2 linked regions of the Coturnix japonica genome follow. Each later gene encodes a partner of the first gene's protein in a complex. Links are inferred from orthologs where the notes say so. Each region holds a gene or a part of one and is shown in the gene's direction. Other genes may lie near its edges.

Region 1 (3,653 bases):
ATCAAGGTAGAAGAGACTTCCTTCATCCAGATAAGAATGGGCTGCATGTGCAGTCCAGGAGTTAAACTTGACATAGGTTATGCTGTGTGAATGAACAACTGTTCAATGGGTTTTTCCTAGCTCAGCAGTCTTCAATGTTGGCTTAGAACACTTTTTGCTAGGATTCTTATTCTCCAAGCAGCTATTGCCCTGCTAGCATCTATCTGATGATTAAGACTTAACTGATAGCTTTTTCTCCTCCATGTCTACTTGTATGGTTAACTCACTTGAGACTTAAGTGAAGTTCAGGTCTGGAAAGCTGGTTGCTGCAGTGGGACTGGGCAGAGCTGTTCTCTTCAGTCAGCTTCCTTTAGAAATGGAGAATTTGTTTCTTGATCAGTGCAAATACCTTGATCAGGCCAATTAATGGAGTGTACGGAAGGAGGGCAGCTCCCCACAGTGCTGGGAGGGTGGTGGGTGCAGTCTGCAACTGCCTTAATTGCAGTCCTACAGAGACAGCCTAATTATAAAAGACTTACTCTCAGTAGTAAAAAAACCCTTCAGTTGTCACTGAAGTCACCGTCTTGGCAAGGACGATAAGTATCATAGCTGTGAATGCTGGAGTTCCATAAGGGTAAGAGCAGAGCTGTAAGTAGTTACAGAGGGCCAATGTGTGCCTTGTGTACTTGGCAGCCCTCTGCTTGTGCCAGTAGTGCTGTGGCAGCAGTGGCACCAAGCCCTCCTGGTATAGCTTGTGCCTTCCAGAATGATGCCTCTGGCAGCTGGGCAGCCTGTTTGGCTGTGTGACTGTGCTGCTGCTGCCTTGATTGTGTTACGTTCCCTTTGCTACCAAAGGATCATCTCTGCTGTCACTCCAACAGGAAGCAAGAGCGTGGTATTTCTTGATGTATCCTTGCATTGTTATAAAGTGAGATTATAGGCCAGCCCTGGCCATGCAGGAAATAGCAATTAGTAAAGATGTCTCTTTCCCCCGTTATGTTGAAACAAATGAAGCCCACTTAGTATGGGTTATTTTAATCTAACTGGAGCGTAAGTGTGGCTGAACCTTGTCTAACTCCTGTTTCTGGCAGCCTAACTTCTTCATTACCCTGTCTGCTGACAGAGATCTACTACAATAGGTCACTTCACTTTGACAGTTTTCACAAGTTTGAGTCTACTAGACTAAATATTCATGATCTGTATAAATAAATTAGCAATATTTAAACTTGTTCACTCTTTTTCTTCCTGTCTCTGACTGAGTTTTCTGTAGCTTGATGTCAGCTGGCTTATTGGCCAAAGCCGTGCCACAGGTGCCATTGGGACACAGTGGTGCCGTATTCCTGTTGTGAATAGGAATACAGGAGACATGCAGTTAACACAGAGGTTGCTATCTGCAAGGAAGCACTGTAAGGTGGCCATAATTCTGTGGGCTTGACCTGCATTACATCACGCGTTTCTGTGGTGTCATTGGAAAGATGAGCTGAAAACAGCGAAACTGAAATGTCATTCATCTAATTGGAAGTGGGGGGTGAGGGGGAAGACATCCAAAAATTCTTAGAGAAAAATAAAACATTAAATTGTTACATAGCCTTAGCAAAGTTTATGTAACAGTTTCTAATTTCATTTTGAGTACTCAACAGCACTTCTGCACTTATTCTGGTTTTTAAATAACTGGCTTTTCTTTCAAAGTCTGACTTCAAGAACTCACTATCAAGAAGTTTGACAGGCTTGTGCCTTAATTTGACTAAATGTGTTGGAGCTAGTGATTTTTTTTTTTTTTTTTTCTTCTTTTCATCATAATAGAACTCCTGCTAAATTACATGACTGCTTCAGCTGGTAACTTGCATTGCTGATTTAATAAGCAGTTAGAACAATCTAGAAAAGAAAAATACCTGGTCTTAACTGGCAGCTCATATGGGGGGATTTGGTGGGGTGACTCCAGAGAGCTGCCGTTGCTTTGGAAGGGATGGGCAGCATGTAGTCACACAGCTGAGCAGCTGTTGATTCAACTGTCTAGAAAGGCAGGAATCCAGATTCACTGTGCAGTTTCTCTTTGGTGATCCAAATGTAGAGTTCCACTTAACACTAATTAAAAAAACCCACAACCTCATTAGCCTGGCCTAGTTCCCATTGCCTGTGTATGTAAGGTATTTGGGTCTCTGATTTGGCAGCTGATATTTTGAGTCCTTTTATCATCTGTGGATGCTGACTTCATTCCATTGTGTACGCTCTGCCCAGACTCTTTGGATGACATTATTTTTGTCAGGGCCTACACAAACCGTTCCTCTGGCCCTTCAGCATTCATCTGCTAAATGAACAGACTTCTTTCCTGTTCTCCCTATAGAGTCACAGCATGGATCGTTCCTTTTAGTACCCAGAATTATGATCCAGAACACATTTTTTCCTTAGCCGAATACGCTATGTAGGATGTGACAGCTTTACTTCTGCCTATTTTTGTCTTGACTTTGAAATAGATGGTAGCATAATCAAACTGTTGGTTCAAAAGCTATGAAAGTATGCATGTTCAAAACGCTGTTCTTTGCTTCTCTTTTAGTCTCTGTTGGAAAAGTTCTTGATCCCTAATGCTTCGCAAGCAGAAAGCAAAGTTTTCTATTTGAAAATGAAAGGTGATTATTACCGTTACTTGGCTGAGGTTGCTGCTGGAGATGACAAGAAAGGTATGTCAATTGTCGCTAAATCTTTGGTCAGTTTAGTGGACAGCAACGCTACAGTAACTTTTGGAATACTTCTTTTTCAGATTCTGCAGTCACAGAATCTTGAAATCAGATCCAGTGTATGCATACAAGAATGTGCCTTATCGCTGACATACCAGTTAATGCTTTTTTTCCTGGCTCTCTGAGTACTGTTTTTACCTCTTCGTAGGGAGTCACTGTAGCTTTCTGAAGTGCTTTAGTGCTAGTTCTCCTGCGTTTCTGCAGCACATAAGAACGTCTGTATAAGTTTAGTGAGCAGGGAGACTAGAATACACCTGGGGAAGGAAAGGATTAATGAAACAGATGTTCAGTAATTTTTTTCCATAACCACGGTAGTTTGATTTCTAAATGGTTTTTATTTCCTAAATTTCTCATGTAGCTTGTCCTCATAGCAGGTAAGTTGCCTTTACTCGTGTTTGGTAAGTAAAGTTAAAATAATGTACTTAACTGCAGCCATTAAGCCACCTAGTGTATTGAAGAGGCACCTAAATAACACCTTGTCTTTGTGCAGTCATCTTCAGTTCAGGAGAATCTATTACATTTAGATAGCACTGTTCACAGCAAACTCCAAGCTGTTTCCTGGAGCCAGTCTCCACAGTCTGCTGGATAGTAATGAAGACGAGTAAGATAAGACTTAATAAACAGTGTTTGATTTGACTTCTAGTGTTTGCTGCATGCAAGCTGACCTAGTCTTGGTGACTGCAGAACCACATGTGTAATAAATAAATGTGTTACTGTGTACCATAGCAGATGTATTTTTGTTCAGTAATCTCTCATTTACAAACTAGAAGGTACACTCTCATAAGGATAGTTACTGACTGTAAAATCTTTGTTTAATGTAACTTTAAGCTTCATTTTTATTCAGCTCAGCAGTTACCAGTGGGTTCTGACTTGCCAGATGAAGAAACAATTTGGAAAGCCCATCTGGTTCTCAGTTGCTATGGCTCCTCAAGTCTTTCA
Region 2 (3,653 bases), on another chromosome or scaffold:
GATAGAGCCGCGAAATGTGAAGCCTCCACCGAGATTTGTTAGTATTTGTATTCTTTCTCATGTTCTCCCCAAAAATGCTTACATCTGTCTTTCTCAGATAGAGGTGATCTTCAATCTCTAACTTCATAAGTGCAAAACTATACTTTGGTGATTATTAGTGTGTGTGTGTTTTGAGTTTTTTTGTTTGATACATTTTTGTCTTTTTTTGTTATTTCAGCCCAAAAAGTACAGCTATCCTCTCAAGTCCCCAGGTGTTCGGCCATCTAATCCAAGGCCAGGCACCATGAGACACCCCACACCCCTGCAACAGGAACCAAGAAAAATTAGTTACAGCCGCATCCCAGAGAGTGAGACAGAAACTACAGCATCTGCACCAAACTCTCCACGAACGCCTCTGACCCCACCCCCCGCTTCTGCTACTTCAAGTACTACAGATGCTTGCAGTGTGTTTGACTCAGATCCTTCAAGTCCCTTTCATGCAAGTAGGTGGTAATAGTGTACAAAGGCTGTATATTAGATTTTGTGATCTTAAACAGGTAAAACCATGCTAAGTGACTATAGCAACATAGTCAATTTTTGTCTCCTTGTAGCAGGAAAAATTTTGAGTACATTTTACTACATTTTTATTAGTGGTTCTTGTTGTAGAGGGAGAAATTGAACAGAATTGGGCATTTTGGGTATTGCGTGTCTTTGGAGAAGCTGTTAAAGCAGAAGGCCAAAGATGCATCATCCTTAGTTCATGAATGTCCCAAACCAACACTTGTAGCATTTGCTGCCAGGTATGTGTGTGGTGAGTGTGTTTGGTGACTAGTGAGAATAGACATGAGTGTTTTGCAGGTGACTTAATCTGCTGCCTGCCATTACAAATCAGCTTCAGGGCACACGAGTGTTTTTCCTCAATAACTTAGTCTGTGTTGTCCTGCTTTAAATCAGTCAAGACCTATTACACTATTTTTCTTCTGTCTTCATCAGCATGCATGGAAGCTCATATTTTATTGTGTGCTTTCAATAATTTTTACAGGACGCAGTGCCCTGTAATGTAAAGGGCATGCAAAGGAAATACAGGGTTAGTCCCATTTTGAGCAGGTTGCCACAAAGAGGTGAACTAACTTGATAAAAGCTGTAGTTGCTTAGCAGTGCAGTGGCATTGCTGAGGGTCCAAGATGGCTTCCTGATTGTTTCTTCATAAGATATTTCTTCATTGTTGGATTGACACATAAGCTGCAAGTTCAGGATGTGGTTTTAGTGCTGCTGTGATATGAGAACAGCTTTGTGATGTGGGTTTTGATCTAGCGGATTACTTACAAAAGTGAGAATTAATGGCCACTGAGTTTATTGCAGTTCAGAAAAGCAGTTTGGAATCTTCAAGTTTGATGGTTGTTCAGTGGTATATTTCCTTAATACCTTCTTCATGCTGCATTTTATGAGCAAGTATTTTACTAAAGTAAAGGTACGCTGCTGTTAATGACACCTTTATTAGCATGCTAGAGGAAATACTCTATATTGAACAAAAACTCATTATTGAGATTTTTCACTCTGTGTTCACTAGGATCTGCTTCTGTGTCATCCATAAGCTTTACCAAAACTTCAGATGAAGCTCACGTTCCCCCACCAGTTCCTCCACGAAGACGACCAGAGTCTGCCCCAGCTGAATCCTCCCCATCAAAAGTAAGTTACAGCTAAAAAGGGTGTTTTTTATAAGAGAAAAGAGGAGAGTATTATAGGAAAAAGAAACTTTTAAAGATAATACATACATTTTTTTTGAACATCTATTTGTGAAACAGTAAGCAACCATGTATTTCAGGCCTGCCCAGCTTCACCATCTGCCTGCTCATTTGCTGTGATTAGGTCCTTCTGAGAACTTAAAGATGTTTCTGTCTGCAGTAATTGTTGTAGAAGATTGTTTTGGGTTGTATGATTTAGGGTAAAGAATTGAAGAACAGTAATGATGGAATGTGATGAACACTCCTTAGTCCCCTGAAATAACTCATTACAGTATTTGACACTGGATGCTGTGCTGCTCATTGCTTTCATTGTTGATTGCCCGTCCTGTTTTCCTGCCTGCTTGAGCCATTGCTACTTTTTGCCTTTTGCATTTGCGAGCAAGTCTAGCTTTTATTTTAGACAGTGTTATATTTCTCTTGATTTCAGTGGGAATTGATTGATGACTAGAGAATTGGATAGATTTGAGGATCCCACTCAAAATTACATTGTAGCATATGTCTTCTGACTTTCAAGAGAGCTTTCATATATCACTAAACATGATGTCCTTTTCAGACTGTAGGTCACTGTGCTGTCAGCCAACAGACTTCAGTGTGTCACAATCCTATCAAAATTCAGTTGGAAACGTTATAGATATGTTAGTGTGGTGGTGTGACCAATTACCTTGTCACTGTGGACTGCAGCTTGGGAACCATTCACTTCAATAATTCTACTTAGCTCCAGTTTCTGAGTGTAGTGTATTTTTTCCTCTGTTCAGCACCATTGCCCCTCTTTATTGCTCATTTTCTTGGAGAAATACATGGTCCTATTATCTGTCATTGGTACCTGTTACTGGGAAGGCAGTAGAAGATACCTAGACCTACCCAGCAGGCAGATCTGGAACCAGCATGTTGCTCCGATCACTCCTTGGCTTGCCTTTTTCCCTTTCCATGCATCTTCACTCCCTGCATCCCTGCCTGTTAACTCATTATTGATATGCCCATGCTCTTACTCTGGTACACATCCAGTCTGCTTGTCCTTTCTACATGCACTGTGCTGAGAAACATATTTTCCTGGGCATTGCTTCGCTACTCCCCATCTTCATTCTGCACTTGGCTTGCTGTGTCTTCTGCTGAAGTGGAAAGATCAGTCAGCAGGATAGGAATTCCATTTCACAGCAGGGTCTTGTTCTTTGCCACTCTAAAACTCTTATTAAATGAAATGTTTGTGTACCTCAGATTACTTCTGCGCACCTGGACAGCCCGCCAGCAATCCCTCCTAGGCAACCAACCTCTAAAGTGTATTCACCAAGGTACTCGGTGCCTGACCGGACCTGCATCTCTGACCCCCCTGAAAGCCCTCCTGTGTTACCACCACGAGAACCTGTGCGAACTCCAGATGTTTTCTCTAGCTCACCACTACACCTCCAGCCTCCACCACTGGGGAGAAAAAGCGAACTCGGTAACACCTTTTTCCCAAACAGTCCCTCTCCATTTACTCCCCCTCCCCCTCAGACACCTTCTCCACATGTAGCACGGAGGCATCTTCCATCACCACCTTTGATACAACAAGATGTGGACCTCCATCCTGTCGCTGGACCACCTGTTCCTCCACGACAAAGCACTTCTCAACATATCCCAAAGCTTCCTCCAAAAACTTACAAAAGGGAGCACACACACCCATCGATGCATCGAGACGGACCGCCCTTGCTGCAGAATGCCCACTCCTCCTGAACTGTCCCCTGCGCTGGGAGCTGCGTTTTCCTGGTGCTACGTCTGTTGCTGGCAATGGATGCACTGAACCTGGTGGTGCCAAGGAGTTGGGATGTGTATATGCCAAACACTAAAAACTCTCCAGTAAATTGGAAATGCAGTGTACAGAAATGGAATTGCAAAAACAGACATTCGAGTGGAAGAACTGGTTAATTCGCTGTTCTTGTTTTAGTATGCAGG

Evidence for each region.
Region 2: the proteins of YWHAZ (region 1) and SOS1 are in contact, whole or in part, in a crystal structure (PDB 6F08), measured with the Homo sapiens proteins. The link is inferred for Coturnix japonica from reciprocal best matches to the Homo sapiens genes YWHAZ and SOS1. Residues at the interface, in NP_001129171.1 of Homo sapiens: Glu14, Asn38, Asn42, Ser45, Val46, Lys49, Arg56, Arg60, Phe117, Lys120, Arg127, Tyr128, Ile166, Gly169, Leu172, Asn173, Val176, Glu180, Asp213, Leu216, Ile217, Leu220, Asp223, Asn224, Leu227, Trp228; in NP_005624.2 of Homo sapiens: Arg1157, Arg1158, Pro1159, Glu1160, Ser1161, Ala1162, Pro1163, Ala1164, Glu1165, Ser1166.

What each region holds. Positions count from the first base shown.
Region 1 is NC_029517.1:116,478,645-116,482,297, reverse strand, and holds part of YWHAZ (14-3-3 protein zeta/delta), read left to right. Parts: intron 1-2,533; coding exon 2,534-2,657; intron 2,658-3,653.
Region 2 is NC_029518.1:14,465,111-14,468,763, reverse strand, and holds part of SOS1 (son of sevenless homolog 1), read left to right. Parts: coding exon 1-37; intron 38-217; coding exon 218-482; intron 483-1,549; coding exon 1,550-1,668; intron 1,669-2,939; coding exon 2,940-3,434; 3' UTR 3,435-3,653.